Linked DNA regions of Lepisosteus oculatus. The protein of the gene in region 2 interacts with the protein of the main gene of each other region in a pairwise test. Links are inferred from orthologs where the notes say so. Each region holds a gene or a part of one and is shown on either strand. Other genes may lie near its edges.

Region 1 (10,405 bases), on a different chromosome or scaffold from region 2:
GGTGTTACTGTACTTTGATTGTAAAACTGTCACCCACTGCAAACAAGAGTTGGCAAAACAGTAGACCAAAAAAGAAAACTAATAATTTAACACATATAAAGCGTTTAAAGTGACACATCTTTTTCAAAGTTTTAAAGTTTTTACATAACTACAAAGTATAAACAAAGTTTTTCCATTACACCCTGCACACCATCCCAAACAAATGTACAGACCACCGTCTATCTCCAATTTCCACTGAATTAACTAAAGACACAGGGTGTGACCAGGTTTATTGTTTCTAAGTCTATTATGTTGAAACAATAAGTATTCAGAGTTTTAAATATGTTAATCCACTTACCTTAACCACAACTTAGTAAAATTTGAAAAGGTTAGAAGAGGTAGCATAGCCAATTTACTGTAGGTTAACAGTATTATCACACTTGAGCAAACTGGTGAAAACTGAGACTACCAATAGTCTGCAACTCTAAACTACCTCTCATTTACTTAATTGGATCTGGTTAGACAATGACAATAAAGGAAAAGGTTTTAATAGCTGTATTGCTAGGGTGGTTCTGAAGCTGAAAAATTGAATGAGTGAGCATGAGTCTTGAGAATACGAAACAGGATGGATTTCACTGCAGAGCAGCGTGAAACTATTACTTGATGGCTTAAGTTAAATGACCCTCAAAAGGGCGATTCAGAACTTCAAACAGCAGCTTCTGTATTTTGAGTCTGTACATTAAACAATAACACTGAGATGGAAAATGCCATTTGGAGAAAAGAAAAAAAGGGCTCTAGCTCCCCCTAATGTGGGCAGGGTTAATTTTTTTGGCTGTTGCTTCCATCCAAACAGTCTGTTCCCATAGCCTCCAAACAACTGGGCACTGACACACACAAACCCCCACACACAGAGACCAGCTGAGAGACAGATGTGCAATACTTAAGTAAACAAACAGTGACTAACAGGAAACTGCAGAGGGAACCAGAAATGTGGTCTTTCAATTAGACTCAGAATAATGACTTGATGTATTCTACTGTCCAGCATCAAGGGTAATAAAGTTCATGGAACATGCAAATCTGCAAAAGTAGTTCATTGTCTGGTGAATAAAATATCAGTGCGAATTCTTTTTAAAATATTACATCTGTTGGCATCAGCCAAGTTACTTAAAATGTACTAAATAAAGTTAAGATTTTAAATAATCCATTGCTTAAACAACTTCATGGATCATAATTATATATTTTCTATGTAATAATTTTGTATAAACAGAAAAAACAATTATAACTTGCAATTACAGAAGGGAGACTACTCATTTATACAAAGGGACATTTACTGAAGCAATCTAAGTTAATAATAATTAGTAATAATAATTGCTTACACTTATATAGCGCTTTTCTGGACACTCCACTCAAAGCACTTTACAGGTAATGGTGATCCCTACTCTTTTCGAGAAACGCTCTGAGACCGCTCAGGACCTCGGTTTTACGTCTCAGCCGAAGGACGGCGCCTGTTTACAGTATAGTGTCCCCGTCACTATACTGGGGCATTAGGACCCACATGGACCACAGGGTGAGCGCCCCCTGCTGGCCCCACTAACATCTCTTCCAGCAGCAACCTTAGTTTTTCCCAGGAGGTCTCCCATCCAGGTACTGACCAGGCTCACACCTGCTGAGCTTCAGCGGGTTGCAAGATGTGAGTTGCAGGGTGATATGGCTGCTGGCTAGTTAAGAATTTTGGATAAAAATACATCAGCAGCATGGCATCTGGATTCCACAGCCCTGGCCAGTACATACCTATACCATGCATTGGAAGAACAATCAAATTTATCCACAGAGATCTATCTGTGCTTGAAATGAACCCACTACTGAGCACGGAAGATGCAGTCAGAACTTATCAACCAGATTTCATGACACATTTCCTGAAATTCCAGGACATGTCTGGTGAACAAATGCCATAAAGAAGCCCAAGAGCAACCTACTACACATGTGCTGTTTACAAAGGAGCAGTGTTTGGAAATCTCAGTCATTTGAGAACAGAGTCATTTAAAGCAGAGCTTCATCGAGTAGACCTTGGCATAAACTCAATCCTGCAAAAGCAATATAGGGCTATCAAACAAAAAACACTGTGTCACCCAAATACATACTTTTATAACTATTTCCAAACTAAGGAAACAGTAGACTAACCACTGCCTCGATCTATGTGTTCAAGCTCTCTGGTATAAAAACTAGATTTACTTTCATTGAGAATTAATCCCTCATCAACTCCTAGTAATGTCTAACAAACTAAAGCATTTAATCAACAACTCCTGACTGATAAGAGAAATGGAGATTGAATAATGCTGTTTGCCAATATGCCCCTTTAATGTGTAACCATTCCCATGTTGTTTTCCTATATAAAAAACACACATTATTTGCGTCTGCTGTTTATAATCAGTACCACTGTGCCACCAGCTGCTCCATGTGCAGCATTAAGGAAATCAACCATAGCTTTAAAGCACTTCCTCACAAAATGTAGGGAATACCTAACCACAGAATTTGCTAGCACAAATTTCAGACATCTGTACTTTAGTGTTATAATAACAGCCAAGACAGATGCTATATAAGATTAGTCTCCTACTACCCAAACACACACACAAAACCTTACTGCTGACCCAAAATATCAGCACAATTTCAGAGCCCAAACTGTGCTGCCACATATAAAAACACTCAGCCATAGTGCCCTTACACAATAGGCACATTTCCAGTTGAGGAAGGAGTCAATATAGATGCAAAGGAGAGTAGTACAATATGATTAGAGAGAAATAACTCCATTGTAGAACACCCACTGACGTTAAAGAATTAAGCTACATGCAAATATCTAACATATCAGTTGATAAGTTTTAAACGGGTGAAAATAATGACCTTTCCAAAAGCCAAATACTGCAAGGACATCATAAATGAATTCAAAAATGCTACTTTTAAATGGTGTTTCAATTAACATATTTATTTTTTTGGGAAAACGGACATACAGAAGTACTTTTTTCCAATATGTGCATTTTAATTCAAGGGTGAAGATGAAGTTTAGGGTATCATATAGTAGTGGTAAAGACTCATGATCTATAATCACACGCAACTTTAAAACCCTAAGACTGATGCCGATGTTAGATCCTTGAGCCATGAATTTTCCCCTCTTCTGCCCCAGTCACACTAAGGGTTACACAGGTAATGTTCTGTCCTATTAACCCTTAATGTCGCATAAAAGAGTCTTGGGAGTTGTTTGCTCTGCTAAAAGTCACTGTAGTAAAACCTGGGACAGTCCTTCAAGTATATAAACTGCTTAGTTTTATAAAGCAATTAATCAAATACTCAGTTTTCTAAATATTGCTGAAGTTCTTCGACTCCAAAGACCTTCCTTTAGGTATCCTGTTGATACCGGAAAATGGTATAACGCTGATATTGAGTATATGCAATGAGTGCTTTATATTTCAAACAATTTGGACATTCTACGGTTGTCAAAAAAGAGACCATTTCTATGTGCACCTTTTAGAAATATAGTACTTAGCAGTTTGAGGTTAGCAATGTAGTAATATTTCTTATGGAACTGCTTATTTCTAACCTTGTTATCAAGATTTTAACTATACTGTGACATGTGGCCTCGAAGAAAATGAAGCATAATCCACTCGATGAGTGACGATAACTTTAATTATACCCATATCTGAGGCACTACAAGGTAGCCAGAAGTGCTTAAGATACTTTATTATTTCATACTGCCAACCGATTCACTTGCATACTTAGGAGTGAATGTAATGGCATGAAAAACTCCAGGGGCTACAACATGTTGGGGGAGCGACGAAATAACACTTTTGAAGTATAGTAGTCAATACGTCTTATTTTTTTGAATTTACTTAAAATAGTGAGCGGTGTTTAAATAATAAAACAGAATTCGAAATATTTTCGAAATAGCTTTACGATACGGTATGAACAACCAATATTATTAATAACAACACGAACTAATGTTAAGAGGGGTCCTCAACACTCAAACAGTTTAGGCAGAAAAATAAACAAAAGGTACACCAAAAATAAATTCAGCTTTTAACGAAGGGCCATGGAAAATAGTACTATTTAACAATAGATTTACAAATATACTTCCATCACAGTCTTTAACAAACAAGAGTGTAGCCGGAGTTTCCAATCTTTAGAGACACATGAATTGTGCGTTTCCTTTTTGTTTGTCTCAGACTTTCAACCATTCGGATGCATATCGCACATTGTATCTAAGTACAGAACGCACACCAAACCCTTCCTCAAAACACCGTTATTCAACCCCTGATAATCCACACTGACCTGCAACCCGCTTGAAGATCCGAGCAAAGGTTATATATATTATTATAGGGGGACCCACAAATCACAACAATGCCAAGTACCCCCTTACGTGTCTCAACTATATTACGCGTCAAGCACTGACGTGGGACAACTCACGCTCATCTTTAGATCAATCCGCCCTTGAATTGGTAGAATTTGTATTTCTTTTTACTACGAAGACACAAAATAGATGTTAAATTAATTAATTTATGTAAAAAGTACATTATTTTGGAACAATTATAATCATAAATCCGCCCTTTCGCTTGTAACGTAGCTCTATATTTCTTCGCGGAATTATTTCAGTTTACGTGAATGTGCCGTAAATGTGTGGCACTGAGCGTCTGTCGCAGAGCAGGAATCACTGCCGTCGGTGTTGCTGGGAAATGTATTTTTGATAGGCTTGTCCTGGGATTCGCGTATGAATACAAGTAGGACGTGACAGTAATTGGGTCTCAAACAAAAGGAACAGTGCTTGCTGTTCAATTAATTCACTGTTTTATTTTATTTTTGGAAAACTGTTACGATCTGGATGTGCCAGCAGGCAACTTTAATTCCTATATAAAGAGCTCTTTTACCTTCTCGAGATGTAAATAAAAAGCATTTGAATACTACTGCTGCTAATACGGCTACATCACAACAACAACAACAACAACAACAACAACAATAATAATAATAATAATAATAATAATAATAATAATAATAATAATAATAAAACTATGTCAATTGGCTCCATCTAGTGGTGACATAAATATTCCATAAATGCCATAATTCAGTAGTTTGGTAGTGATAACGTGGGTTAGACTTCACTGAAGTCTACTGAATTTACTGAATCTAAAATTTCACCCAGCCCTTTTTTGAAGGTGTCCAAGATTTGGGTCTCAATTGCTTAACTGAGAATCTTTTTGTAAATTAATTTTAAGTTCAACCTTTATTGTCCCATTAGGGAAATTTGTTTTACAATAATAATAATAAACTTTATTTTATATCGCACCTTTAAAGGTGGCTTCTCAAAGCGCTTTACAGGATGACAACTATAAATAAAAAGAATACATAAGATAAACACACAATTACAATATATAGAGGAGACCGTGGATGGTGGTACAAAGAAAAGCAGAGGGGTGAAGAATGGAACCAGTTAAGTAAAGACTTTTCTGAAGAAAAGGGTTTTGAGTCTGGATTTGAAGGAGTTTAGGGAAGGTGACTCTCTGATATCTTTGGGAAAAGAGTTCCAGAGCTTGGGGGCATAACAGGAGAAGGCCCTGTCACCCATACAATGTAGACGGGCTTGGGGGACAGTAAGGAGAGCAGAATTAGAAGAGTGAAGGTTGTGAGGTGGGGAGTAGGGCGATAATAGTTCAGACAGGTACTGAGGTGCCAAGCCATGCAGAGCCTAATAGGTGAGCTTGAGGATTTTAAAGTCTACACGACTTTTGACTGGAAGATAAGATATAAGATAGCACCACAATGACAGACAGAATTTCACCAACAAAGAAGCAAGTGCAACAGTGCTACAGTAAGATAAGAGAGAAGATAATTAGAATACATTGTTTGAAAGAGATATTGCAGCTGGGATTAAAGATTTCCTGTAGCTATTAGCATTATACCTTGGGACACAGGGGCGTCTCCCAGACAGGAGAAGTGTGAACTCTCAGTGGAGGTGCTGAGAAACACAATCCATAATACACTTTGGTTTCTTTGCCACCCTCTCTTTGTAGAGTATATCTAAGATAATTTGATTTGCCCCAATTAATTTACAACTTAAGTTGACTATTTTATTCATTCTTTTACAATGGTACTGATGTTACCAAACCAGCAAGTGAGACAGTAAGCAAAAGAAAAAAAAGAGGGAAAAGAAATGTTTCTATTCTAAGACCTAAATGATTCCCCTGTCAGATACAACATTTTTAAGAATCTGTAATAGAAGTTTTGATTACTGAAGTACTACAGAAACAAAGAAAAAAACACACCCAACATTAAATTACTATTACTAGCACTTTGCTTATTGTAGAAAGCTTAATGTACTCTCAGTCGTAGCTCTATAGTTTATACAGGGAATGAGTTATTACAGTCTCATCTTATCTCTTAATGACTTAATTACACTTTTATTTAAGCTAATAGTTTACATAAACAATTGTTTTTGCTTTTTGAAAGATACATGAAGAAGAAGAAGAAGAAGAAGAAGAAGAAGAAAAAGAAGAAGAAGAAAAAGAAGAAAAAGAAGAAAAAGAAGAAAAAGAAGAAAAAGAAAAAGAAGAAAAAGAAGAAAAAGAAGAAAAAGAAGAAGAAGAAGAAAAAGAAAAAGAAAAAAAAGAAAAAAAAGAAGAAGAAAAAGAAAAAGAAAAAGAAGAAAAAGAAGAAAAAGAAAAAGAAAAAGAAGAAGAAGAAGAAAAAGAAGAAAAAGAAGAAGAAGAAGAAAAAGAAAAAGAAAAAGAAGAAGAAAAAGAAGAAAAAGAAGAAGAAAAAGAAAAAGAAAAAGAAGAAAAAGAAGAAGAAGAAAAAGAAAAAGAAAAAAAGAAGAAAAAGAAGAAAAAGAAAAAGAAGAAAAAGAAGAAGAAGAAAAAGAAAAAGAAAAAAAAGAAAAAGAAAAAGAAGAAGAAAAAGAAAAAAAAGAAGAAGAAAAAGAAAAAAAAGAAAAAGAAAAAGAAAAAAAAGAAAAAAAAGAAAAAGAAAAAGAAAAAAAAGAAGAAAAAGAAAAAGAAGAAAAAGAAGAAAAAGAAGAAGAAAAAGAAGAAAAAGAAAAAGAAGAAGAAGAAGAAAAAGAAGAAGAAGAAGAAGAAGAAAAAGAAGAAGAAAAAGAAGAAAAAGAAGAAGAAGAAGAAGAAGAAAAAGAAGAAGAAGAAGAAGAAGAAGAAAAAGAAGAAGAAGAAGAAGAAGAAGAAGAAGAAGAAGAAGAAGAAGAAGAATTGCTTACACTTATATTGCGCTTTTCTGGACACTCCACTCAAAGTGCTTTACAGGTAATGGGGACTCACCTCCACCACCATCAATATGCAGCATCCACCTGGATGATGCGACGACAGCCATAGTGCGCCAGAACGCTCACCACACGTAAGATATGTTATGCATATAATGATTAATTGCTGAAAATAATTCCTAAAAGTCTAAATCAGAATGTTGGAAACTGGCCTTTTTTAGCTTGTAATTATTTCCTTCCTTCCTTCCTTGAGTTGTGGGACACCAGATCTCTATCTTACCCCCTACCTGGGACATCACCCTTCACTGGTTACATTTACTGATACCTACAAAAGGCCCACAACACTAAACCCATGAACAACAGGAAACTTTTGGAACCATTTTTAAAGGGTTTATTTAAGTAACTGGAACAAAAGTCAGAAGACACTGGGCTCTTGACCTGAGGGCCATTTAGGTGTGAGGAACCTTGATGCTAAAAATGAGAAAACCCAACAACAATAATATAATAGTGATAAATTATGTTATGTGAACCTTGTCTAAAATGCGGCTTTATTTTAACATATAATTTAACTATGACATAGTTATTGTGGTTGTGACAGTGGCAATGACAGAACGGAAATCCCCATACATCAGGTCAGTGAATTATAATTCAGCAACAGCATGTTTTCTTGAAAAAAGAAGCCACCACAAAATGCTCTACTATATTTTAACTGTTAAGCATACTTTGTAGTAGCATGTAATTGAACACATGGTTTAGCTTTATCTTATCAGTTGACAAGATCATACAGTAATATTGGGGAGTACCTCCATACTTCACTGTGGAACTGAACCGCTGGTCTGCTGGTTACACATGTCTGTTTACATTTGAATGCAGGCTTTTGAGCTATTCTGCCTTCAAGCTAGCTCACTTAGTGCATTGGGCATTGACAAGGCACTCTAAACACTCAAGAGCATTTAATTCCATCTGTCAGAGATTTTTATGGCAAATGGGTAAAGGGCATTTGCTGAATTCAAACCAGTGTTTAATCACTGTGCCCAGAAGCAATGCACTCCCGGACCTAGTTTAAATCTACATAATTTGAGAAATAAGCACATTCCTTTTTCACTTAAGGGAACTGCTCCCAGTGTTTAACTTTGAAGTATATTTGGTAACGGCTGCAGTCATTGGCTCCAGTCACTTGGGCACACTGCTTTAAAGGAGTAGTTCATGCCATCTGTATTTTACTCTCATTTCATTTTATCACATGAGGCACATACTAGACGATGTGCTGCAAGTGATTCACGGTTGTTGTTCCTGCTCAAATCTGTGCTTGACATGATAAGTGGCTACTGTCTGAAAAACAGCTGTGTGGGGAAGTGCATGCAGGAAAAAAAGTAGTTTAGCACTGTACTAAGCTGCAGAGCCTTGTCTAGTAGAAGCATTGTAAAGAAATGTTTAAACTTCCCATCGGAAAACACTTAATGAAAAAGCTGAAATCTGTCTTTTTAGCAAGGTAGGTAAATGCATAACCTCTAACACTAGAATAGATACAGATAAGCTAATTTCCTTGGTTATTAGCAGGAAGACAGCAGTCAGAGAGGGAACTATGTCAGGGTCAAGATCCGCAGGAATTCACTGGCTGAATTTCAGGTCTCAGATGGTGGGAACATCCTGTGTATTCTTTTTTCACTGCTGTCTGGTTACATCTCATGAGTAAGATCTTTCTCTTGGGTTTCATTTCTATATTTATTTTACATTGATAGCAAAATTACACTTGTAAGGTTAAGAAAGTTCTGCTTTGTGTTTAATAGAATACAAAAATATCTTAAAATACTAAGTAATAAAATGAACAGTGTGAAAATAGGGAATAGTTTAGTAAAAAAAACACAAATAAAGAATAAATATACATATATACTCAAACACCGATAGCATCATCATAATTCTGAAATTAAAAGTCAAAGGAACAGTACTTTTTGAAGTGGTCTGATAAATTACCAACAGGAGTTATATATTCACTATTCTGAATACATAACTGACCATATTACTTGTAAATGAAAAAATGTAGCATACATTCTATAAACCCATCATCTTATCTGCTCATAAATATATCTCCGGAGGCTGGAACAAAGATTGTATAAAGTATAAAAAATGACAATTAGGATAATAAAGGCCTGTAGACTGTGGTGACCCCTTGTGGACAGTAGTGATAGCAGGTTTATTAACTAACTCAAATCATGACTTTTTGACACCAGCCACAATGGAAGATCAGATCAAAGCACCATGTGATGAATTCTTCAATCTGGTGGATACTTGCTAATCCATAGTACTACATAGTACTACAATCCTTCATTTTAGCAGCCACATCACTCTACAACTCACAACTGGAAACCCACTGAAGCTAAGCAGGTGTGAGCCTGGTCAGTACCTGGATGAGAGACCTCCTGGGGAAAACTAAGGTTGCTGCTGGAAAAGGTATTAGTGGGGCCTGCAGGATGCGCTCACTCTGTGATCCATGTGGGTCCTAATGCCCCTGTATAGTGACGGGGACACTATACTGTAAACAGGCGCCGTCCTTCAGATGAGATGTAAAACTGAGGTCTTGACTCTCTGTGATCATTAAAAATCCCAGGGAGTTTCTCAAAAAGAGTAGGGATGTAACCCCGGCGTCCTGGCCAAATTTCCCATTGGCCTTTACCAATCATGGTAATAATAATAATAATAATAATTGCTTACACTTATATAGCGCTTTTCTGGACACTCCACTCAAAGGGCTTTACAGGTAATGGGGACTCCCTCCACCACCACCGATGTGCAGCATCCACCTGGATGATGCGACGGCAGCCATAGTGCGCCAGAACGCTCACCACACATCACCTATCAATGGGGGAGGAGGGCAGAGTAATGTAGCCAAGTCATAGAGGCTACATTACTCTGGTCTCCTAATAACCCCCATCTATGAATTGGCTTCATTACTCTGATTGGTAAAGGCCAATGGGAAATTTGGCCAGGACGCCGGGGTTACACCCCTACTCTTTTTGAGAAACTCCCTGGGATTTTTAATGATCACAGAGAGTCAAGACCTCAGTTTTACATCTCATCTGAAGGATGGTGCCTTTTTACAGTATAGTGTGCCCGTCAGTATACTGGGGCATCAGGACCCCCACAGATCACAGAATGAGCGCCCCCTGCTGGCCC
Region 2 (10,783 bases):
ATGGAAATTATATAACTATATAAACACCTCATTTTCATGAGTAAAATACTATAATGAACTCGAGCACCAGTATATTACCTTTTCTTAGATCATACTGCATATCATTTTTATGTCTTGTGGATCTTCTGCCCTGGAATGTGTCCATGGATTATACCATGCAAATGAGAGATGGAGCAGTTGGCACAGCTTGAGGCATAGCACTGCGTATTGTTGACACACGCACAATTCAGAGGCCTTATTGTGATCATGCTCAGTACAGAGTTGCATGTCCTTGAAAATGAACTCTAAGTCTTGCATCTCTCCTTAGTATGGAGTATCAGCCTGTTGCCATCGTAGTCATTTGGGAATAAACAGCTATTAGGTTTTATCAGCAGTGTATGTAATCATGGTAGAAGGATCATTCGTACAGGATGAAAAAAAGAATAGTTTGTGAAACAGTTATCAATTGAATATCTCTTTAATGGTCACTTAAACAGTGGGATTTGCCTGCTACAAAAGTGTAATCCAGGTTGTGCTCTGTGAAAGGGTGTTGCATGAAAAGTCAGATTAACTTAATTTAAAGTTCAATGAGGCATTTTTGTGGTTTGTCTGAGTTATTTCACTGGCCTGTCATAGATGGGCTCATGGTTGTACATGGTTGTACAGATGGACTGGAAAAATCATGGTAAAGTTCTTTACTGAAGGATGTAACAGCAGTGATATCAGTGCTATACTGTAGATGTGTACTTAAGGGCAAAATTTCTTAGAACATACAAAAGCATTCCTGTCTAAAGAGCAAAGTTGGTCCATACATTGACTGAATTGCTAGCTTGATTGGTACCATATGATGGAGTTTTCATTACAGATTTCTGTTGCTTTCAAGTCTTCATCACAGCTTGTTACTGTACCAGTTCTATTTTGTGATGCATTGGACTGAAACTTATTTTTACACTCCTTGGGGCATCAGTATTGTCTACATGCATTCTTGCATATGTTTTGTCATTTTCATGTGTAAAAGGTTTGTTTGTTCATGTCCTGCTATTTTCTGCATGTTCAGATATTGCTGTATTGTTATTCGCAGGCATTTGACATTTCACATTCTGAGAACTCATTCTGTAGATCCTTGAAATAAATCTCGAGCCTAGAACTAGATGTATAGAGTTTTACAAAGCTCATAAATAATGTTTCAGTATTTTAAGTGGTAGAGCCTCTTCTTTGGCTCTAGTTATCTTCCTGTTTTGGGATTTGAACTTCTAAATATTTCCTCTTTTGCGGTCTTTATGATTGTATACTGTACTTTTTGTTTACAGTATTGTCTTTGTTTATTGAAAGTTCAATTAAAATGTATTTCAATGTGTGAACATATTAGTAAAGATGTTATGACCGGTTATTAAAAATATTACATTTATCTAACTATAGGGATAATCCTTTAATCCAAATTGAGTATGGTCAGGATTAAAGTCATGTTATTACCATTAATGAATCTATCAATCTACAGTAGATGTTTGGATTATAATAATAATAGTAATTTTATAAGTGTTTAAACCCTTAGATGTCACAAGCCTAATCTAAATCAGGTGTACACAATTGACATAATGAGCCATGCAACTAATTAAGTGACCTTTTTGTAAACTCCCTCAGTCAGATTCTGAATTTCAATCAAAGATTGAACCATGCAGACCAAGGAGCTTTCAAACACCATTTGGCACCAAGATAGTTGTGTAAAGGCACAGATTAGAGGGAAGGTAAAAAACATTTCAGAAACAATTAATACTGTATCTCTTTGAGTGTGGCAAAGTTGATCATTCCATTGTGGAATATACCCTGAGTCTGCCTGGATCAGGCTATCACTCTAAACTGAGTAGAAATTGAATATGAATGCTGCAGTGAGGCCTACAGTGACTTGTGGTGTTCAAAGTATCAGTTCAGATGATACTCTGAGAATTAATAATGCCCATGTGTCAACAATATCCCAGTCACTTTTAAATTAATTAAAAATTTCACTTTTACTTAAAGTATGGATGACTTAAAGTATGGAACTTTAAAAATCTGAGTGGAATGTAAGAATTTGAATAACGTAGGAAGTGTTTAGGGGAGAAGTAGCATTAGGCGTACAATCGTATGCGTGTCTGTGTCTCTGATTGTGTCTATGAGTGCCTTGAGACGGAATAGTGTCCCGTCCTAGGTGTATCCTGCCTTGTACCCATTGCTTGCTGGGATAGGCTCTGGCTCCCCCACGACCCTGAATCAAATGAAGCGGTTAGAAAATGGATGGTAAAACTAAGACACTTTCAATTTTGAAGGCAGGCAAACTGAGTATTATGCTATAGCATTCTGAAGTGAAGTGAACCAAGTGAAGGCTTCAAATTCCTTATGTTGTGTTTTCTCATAATGGGGTTGGATACCCTTTTCATGCAGACTGATGGGCTTATACAGAAAGTTATGTATAAAAGAACATGTGCCAGTGTTTTATTTTCCTCATGCCAGTATTTCCATTAAAGTGCAAGTAAACAGCTTAGTTTGGACCCAGTTATGAAGCTCATATACAAAATTGTGTGGTCCAGAGGCTTTTGTGTGTCACAGAATATTAAGTTGTGAATGGTTAGTATAGTCACTCATAGTATTTATTATGTAACATAAGGGCCTTTTCTTTAGACATTTGGAGCCTACAGTATAGTTTATTTATCTTTCTCCAAGCATATCTATACTATAGGCTATAGGCATTCTGATCTCTACTGTCATGGAATCTATGATTAATTATACATTTAGGAACTGAATGAGCTGTATTTATTGGTGCAACTAATTGATTAATGCAATGTACATACCACTGTGCATCAAAAAGCTGTGAGTGAATGCAACAGTATCCACCTGGTATACTGTATACCTACAGATCTAATTTGCTATTTTTAATATGTCAGTTTTTAAAACAAAAGCTAACATTAATACTTGTAAAAAGGTGTAATGTGTTAAACAAATAATAGGGAAAAGACAGTTTGGTATGCAGGCATGCATGTATTTCTGGATTTGACAAAGGAAATACAGATTAAAGATAATTTCCCAACATAACATGAAAGGCTAATAAATATCAGTTTTATGAGCCGTTAAAGATTATTTTAGAGCATGCTTAAAGAACATTATATTGGTGTAAAAAGGCAGCTTGGTTTTGTGGAGTACAAACAGTATGTATGTACAGTAATGGAATAGAAATTATTCAGAGAATGTTTAAATATTATAATGACAAAAGGGTTTCTCTTAGTTCAGATTTCTTCAGTCTGAACAAAGGGTTACAATTTAATAGCAAATACTATATGATATTCAAAGTATGTAGTTTTTCAATTGTACTAGATTTTTAATAGGAGAGATAAAGATACTGTAATACATTAATATAGAGACAAAATACTGTACAAAAATTAAAATAAATAAAATATCTGTGAACATAATATGTTTGAATGCTTTCACTGAGGAAACGATTCAAACATACATCTCGTTGTATATCAAAGTTTTCATAAAACAAGTGCAGTATATACAATCCATAGGAAAATGGGATTAGTGAGAAAAGATAAAACAAAGATACAGTGTGTATTTTTTTATTTCAATGTGCATTTTTTGTAGGGGCACATGCTTTGGGGACCACAGTAAAAAAGGTAAAGTAGAGGTAGCATGCTGACAAGGTAAAGTGGATGTGAATAGCAACATTGGAATAAATTGTGTTTCCTGGTTATGGCAGAAGAAAGCTGTGCAACAATAAGTTGAACTAAAAGAGAAGACCAGTAAAAATTATGGAGGTCATTCATTAATTATTTAACTTCTGTAAGCCTTCAGCTACCGCTAATATCATTAAAACATTTAAAGTAATATGTTTTTTTTTTTTAAATCAAGAATTTCCTTAAACTGAATATTAGGATTAAAAGATTGAATACTATAAATAATCTAAACTCCATGTTTCATTGCTTTTAGTAACCCCTGAATTGGTGTGAGCGGTTTATTTGCAGAGATTTGGAAGGTTTTTCATGCTGGGTCAGTGACTCAGTGCTTGAGTGGAATCCTGGGGTGAAATAGTCATTTATTGTTGGGTCACGTAGAAAGAAAGGTTATAACTTTTTTTGACAGTAAGACACAGGACCAGATTGCAATTAGAACGAATGCCAGATGAAGCAGCAGGTTGCTGGTCATAAATGTTTATGAGTCAAAACCACTTAAGAGGCTATTACTCATAAAAATTTAGCAACATTTACACTAAACGGCTAATGTGTTTGGAATTATAGTAATTCTAAATGGTAGAGATCTTCAGTATCATAAAGAGAATGCTTGGTTGCTTATGTACAGTAGCTCTGTTAGCATTTCCTTTCACTATCTTTAGTGCATAGTTCAGCAGATCTTTTTTGTAAACAAATCCTTAGCTTTAATGTCACCTACACCTTTAATGTCATTCAATACCTTGCATACTTATTTTGTGTGCTAAGACTGAGATGCACAATAATTAGCTATGCCACACTGATCCTAAAAAGGGGTAAAACAGCTGTCCGTCACGTCTAACTTTGACTTCATTGAAAACAGGAGACTCCTTTTTTGCACAAAACGTTATGGGACTCTGGTTTCTTTGAAGAAACTGTTTTAAAGATCAATTAGCTGCTAGCAGCCAGACAAGCTAGATGGGTTGAATGGCCTTGTCACACTTATAATGTTATATTATGATATTATTTTATACAGCTTGATACAGATGAAAACAAACCTGTGTGTTTTGAAGTGGCTAATTCTACAATGCCGCTGACAGTGAGGGGAAATGCCACACCTTCATACAGTACATATACTGAATTGCAATCGCATGTAATGTGTATAATGCATGCAATGCAAAGGTTTTGCAAACAAAAAAAACTTAAAAATTTCGAAGTGTTTCATTTTGTTTAGCTTAAATTTTATTCAAGTTGAACGTAAGAATGGTTACAGATGAGAAGAGGCCATTTGATCCACCTAGCCTGTTTTGGTATGGTAATGAGCTACACAAATTAGAAAGTCAGTTCTGAAATTTGAACCTGCTCTTTCTGAAGCCCTTAAAACTTCTACATTGTTGTTTCATAACATTTATTTGTCTTAAAGTCAACATTGGCTGTCTTATGATAGCAGCTGTAGTCTTTGCTTTTGAAAGAAGCTATAAATTAAGAGTTATGCAGTTTAAATCAATGAAGATATTTTAGTACTGCTGCTTAAATGATTGTAGCCAACTTATTTATGACTAAATGTTCGTTGCATTTAGTAAATATTTTTTTTATTTGGTGTTGTATGATTGATTGTATCATTTTGGATTATATTGCTTAAATTCCACTGTATATGGGAGATTTTGCCATCATTTTACCACTAAAAGCTACGTGTTAGGCCATATACATATTTTCTAACTAATGCCTAAACATACCACCTTGTTATTTTATCTCATTAATATAGATCTTGGCTTGATTTCTTGAATGTGTTAAAGGGTTACCAGTATAAACTGCAAAAGCAATGAGGCACATACTGTAGTGCCAAATTTATTGCTGTCAGAAGGTTATGGTGTTAAAGATATACAGTGCAATATTGTAATGAAATTAACATTCAGCATACATGATCCGTGTATATACTTATTCTCCTTTCTGTATGTAAATTTAAGGTGTTGAGAACCTCACTGTTGTTTAAAACATTGCAGTGAGATGTTATCATGAAATACGGTGTAGAAACTGTAGGCTGTATGTCTCTTTTTTCATTATTTTCTCTTTCACTCTGGCTGTGCATATCCATGTCCTGAGGAGATGCACACAAAAAGGCAGATGGGTTCACTGAGTCCTTCAGGGGCCAGAGCTGGTTCATCACATCTAACTGAGCCGGGTTGTCAAATCCATGAAGCCACTTGTTTACTGTGGCTGCTACCAGAGTCAGCAGTCATGGGAGGCACACAAAATGACTGCAATTATCAGGTACTTCTACAATAGTGACTCAGCATCACACGGCTGTAGTTCTTATGTAAATATGGCTGACAGCCTCCTGGATCTTGACAAAGGGTGGTGTGTACTGTTGAAATCTAGTTCTGTGTCTCATGTTGGTGTTAGTAAAGCACACGTACATCAGATGTGAGATACATACAGTTTTTAGGAACAACTAGTTTTTGAAAAAAAATCAAAAGTGTAGCAGAAAATATTTTTAAAAATAAATAACATTTTTATGTAATTAAAAATAGTTTAATAAAAATCCCAGAAAGCAACTATTCTTCCAGAGAGGAATTATGATTAAAAATAGTTATGTATTTACAAATCATTCAAGTACATTCATCTTGAGAATACAAGACCTTCATTTCTTATCCTCAATTTAAAGGAAGCTATGCCTTGTTGTTGTCAACCTTTTTAAAGACTTCAGCAGCTATCAAGAGTAGTTCTCAAAAGACTTAAAACAGATAAACTTACAGTTAGGGAGTAAATATGTGACGACAATGATTGAAAATGCTAAATGTCCCTGGCTGTTTTCCATTTTCAAAAGGTCCTGCTTTGTATCAGCCTCCTTCCCATCTGCAAACTTTGCAGTATTTAAGTTTTTGGGAATTGAATTTTGTATTTTATATTTTTTCTACTACCTAAGCAGTTTATTTTAAAAAAATGTCTTTTTTTAAAAAAATATTATTTGAATATTATAACAAGTAATCACTTAGTTGGCCCATATGTTATCTCATATAATTGAGCCCATATACTTATATACAGTATTTCATCTCTTTAGAAAGTTAGAATTTTCCAATAAAATGTCCATTTGAGTGGAATATCATTGTGGAAATAACATTTTGAGACCTGTGTCCCATTTGTTGATGCAACCCTGGCTCCAGTAGTGCTTCAATCTTTAATCAGAATAATATTTGTCCCCCTATAGGTTTAAAATACATTTATCTTGAGCTTGTGGATCTTTCCTTGGTCCTCCATGTTACCAGTATTGTTACTCCAAATACCTTCTTGTGAAACGAGTCTAGTAGATGTGTGGCTCAACCATTTTGTTGAGACAAATGTGTTCATGACAGGGTGCCATTATCTTGTAAAGGGAGAATAAGAATTCCTTGCTTATTCATCCTCTGCTCAATGAACTGTCCATTGAAGAGCTCAGCAGTCTTTTGTTCTAACTTCTGTTTCAATGAGGACAGTTAAAGGTTTAGCATCAGTCATCACCAAATAACGTCACAGATCTGACAACTTAATACAATGAGAAGAATTGAGCTACCCAGGTGTTGGTCTCTTATGCAAGTGTATTGGAAATGTGATGTATTCTGTAACCATATGCAATGTGACTTGCAAGGTTCTTTCTCAAAATTCTCTTTACAGATGATTAGATATCAAGTCAAAACACACAAAAAAAATTCTAACTGCATCCCAACTAATATAAATTGGAAAGTAATTTTAATTGTAACATTATGTATTAGTATTATAATGAAAAATGAAGCATCCGTGTATATGAGGACTGTATAATACTCCTACTGTACATTTTCTAAATCAGCATACACTTAATTTATTAAAACCTACATTAAAACCTAAAATATACTAAAAAGAAAACTTTTTCTGTTTAACAGTGGTGAAAGGCATTGTTGATACTGTAGATGAAGAAATCAGAAACAGGTTTTGACTGCTTACTTGTGATTATACATAATGAAATCCATATGATCAGAGAGCTTAACTTTCAAATACTCTGTGATTAAGTTGTTTGAGCACTTGTGATCTTAGTTCCATATACAGTACTGTAGTTTAAAAACTAGTGACAATCTGGTGTTCTGCCATTGTTATTATAAGTATGCAAACTAACTTGATTTTTAAGAGATCTTTTTATCAAAGATAAAAGGTTATATCAAAGGTTTCTGATAATGAAATATTTACCATTTATTGTCGCAAATGATAAATTCAATGGGAATGATACTTTCTGTACAACTTCCTGTTGCTTACCAACTGTTTAAACTGCTTACTTGATGTAGTTTGATGACATAGTGTACCATACAGCAGGTCACATTGACTAAATCTGATGGCTTAACTTGTCGTGTTTTACTAATGGGTTATGCTATTTCAAGACATTTTTATCACTTTGATGGATTCTGCTGCCTCAAAAGTGGGGAGGGAGATGTTTAAATTGAAGGACCGGGTGAAATTAAATCTGATATACTGGATAGCATTCTTTTTAACTCCTCTTTGGAGCCTGTGAGACATAAGAGAGAAGGAAAGGTCAGCTTTTCACATGGTTTCATTTTTTTCTACCACAGAATATCCTCGGTATACAGCTCAAAATATTATATTGGCACAGTCCTTGTCCAACCCAAAGACAACTGACACAGCAAGCAATAAACTGAGAACCCATGAAACGGTTCAAACTGAAAAAGTCAAAGAGAAAAGTTGTGTAAAGCCAACCTGGTAGGAGACTCAGTCACTTAGTCAGTTTTGTATACTGGACAATTGATTCCCGCACACTGTAAACTATTGTTATTCATTCTTGCACTACAAAGACCTATTTCCTGTATGATGTGCTGTACCTGGCATTTCACAGCACCTTTCATAATCTGCAGAGCCAGAGAACAATATAAATAATTATATTATTATTATTATTATTATTATTATTATTATTATTATTATTATATTCACTAACAGGAACTTTGCCACTGGCTTTCACCTCAAATCATGCACATTCAGATAAATCAATGAATGAATGAACTGGTTAATCTCAGTGGATGTTTTTTCCTACTTTCAACCCCTCTTGTACGTGAGCACAGCTTGGCTGTGAAGCTTCCTAGCAGCCTGGTAATGAGCTGCACGGGGATTCTGGGATCGGCTTCAGTTGTGCTTGCTTTGGCTGTGCTTAATGGTGGGCAAATCTGTAATTCCAACCTTTCATGTGCAAACAGAATACAAAACCGGCAACTGTACCAATTATGAAATGAGAAAAAAAAGGATTGTTAAACCCAGTGGAGCCATGCATTCAGTTAACAATATTTTCTTTCCCCAGAATGATTGAAGAGGGTGGAAAAAGAGGCAAAACCATGGCCGAAAAGAGGCAACTTTTCATGGAGATGAGTAAGTACTGAAAGGAACTTGACACTTGATAAGAGTAAATTTCAGTTTGATAGGACAAAAAGCTTGGAAAAGAGTGAAAAAACTCCTTCAAGGCCAGTGGAAGAGAAACATATTTCAATAACCTGAGTTGCACAGTGTAGCACAGTGTGAATCACAATGTTAGCTTCTGTGTTTGCATCAATGGTACATATTGTGCAGAACATTTAGAGTGCAAACCATGGGTAAGGGGAGTGACCATACAGATAACGGAAAAAGTGCTGTTGTCACTAAGGGCTTTTGTTCTTCTGAGGAGTCATTCCAGTATTTTAGTCAGTGTTTCATGTCAGATCCGTCAAAGCAAGGAGTACGTCTCTGGAGACAGCACCTCTGAAAACACACAGGCTTTTGTGTGGAAAACAGCAGCAAGGAACTTTACTGATAGTGACAATCTCTGACGCAAGCCTCACTGTCATTGCAAAATTATAATGAAATAAAATGTTACTTTTTGTATATCTGTCCTTCCAATTTTAATTGGGTTGAAATACAATTCTAATTTAAAGTATTGGAAGGATGTAAGGCTTATTTTCAACTGATAGAAAAGTTCAAGGTGAGAATGGATTGGCCTTGAGGAATCTCATGTGAGACTTGGGGTAAGAGCAAAGATGTTCAAGAGCAAAGATGAACTACTCCTCTGATATGTATTGATACAAAATTTAGTTCCTTTAAAATATTAGGCACAGTTTTTTCTTCTGACTTTGTACAGTGGAGGTCTTAGATCTACAAGACCACAAAGATTGTTTCTGCAATGTGGTTAATCCTGCATTAGAATTCTGGAAGATTTGCTTAGAAAAGGCTTCTGTGGGGGAAAAAAAATCTGTATAATGTACTTTTTAATTTGTAAGAAAACATATGACTGTTTAATTTAGGTAATGTTTTTCTCTAGAAATATTCTTTAAGAAGTTGAAGGTGTACAGAGTACATTTTGAAACTGGCTATCAACATTGTGAAAATTGAGTGTGGAAATTCTGTAGACAAGGAAATGGGACCATGAGAACATTTTCTCATACCACTGACATTGCAGCAGAAGCCACTTAGGTCAAACGAATGCTGTCCACTATGTGCAGTGTACTTTGTGGAGATAATGGATCTAGTACAGTACATTTGTCAATTACTACAAAAATGTTTTTTTAAACTTTACAGTTATAATAAGGTCATTTTTGACAAAATATTTGTGTTGGAAGAAAACCCTGTTTTGAATTCTAAGAGAGCTGTCCTAAAGGGTAGATTTGTGGAATAAGGCCTACAGTATTTAGCACAAAATTGGTATTGTTTTCAAAAGTGGCATCTTGGCATGTTTTTACCCAGGGGCCCAGAATTATGATGTCATCAGACTCTCAACCTATCGGACGGCTTGCAAGCTGAGATTCGTACAGAAAAGGTGCAACCGTAAGTAGCATCACTAAATCGCATCTTTGTGCTCAGTTAGACTATCAGCTGTTTTGAAAGGTCTTAAAATTACTCATCTCAGTGTACAATTGTAATTTATAAAGACTGTATTTATAAATCATGCAGTTTTGTGGCTCCTTACCCTCAAACGTATACGTACCTGCACTATTCAATTCAATTCAATTTATTTTTATATAGCGCCTTTCACAACAAGGTTGCCCCAAGGTGCTTTACAAAAGGGTGATTATTACCACAAAATTACCACAAAAGGGTGCTTATCCTCCCATTATCAATATCAGTTTAGCTCAGTAATACAGTAGGTCACA

The links. The genes of interacting proteins can lie anywhere in the genome.
Region 1: the proteins of dtnba (region 2) and hmg20a interact in binary tests that used the Homo sapiens proteins (3 or more experiments, as listed by UniProt). The two-hybrid records come from large-scale screens. The link is inferred for Lepisosteus oculatus from reciprocal best matches to the Homo sapiens genes DTNB and HMG20A.

What each region holds. Positions count from the first base shown.
Region 1 is NC_090700.1:51,014,199-51,024,603, reverse strand, and holds the start of hmg20a (high mobility group protein 20A), read right to left. Parts: upstream 4,409-10,405; 5' UTR 4,300-4,408; intron 1-4,299. UniProt on the Homo sapiens protein: Plays a role in neuronal differentiation as chromatin-associated protein. Acts as inhibitor of HMG20B. Overcomes the repressive effects of the neuronal silencer REST and induces the activation of neuronal-specific genes.
Region 2 is NC_090697.1:47,493,321-47,504,103, forward strand, and holds the start of dtnba (dystrobrevin beta), read left to right. Parts: upstream 1-5,778; 5' UTR 5,779-5,847; coding exon 5,848-5,924; intron 5,925-8,355; exon of another isoform or gene 8,356-8,375; intron 8,376-8,964; coding exon 8,965-9,032; intron 9,033-10,376; coding exon 10,377-10,457; intron 10,458-10,783.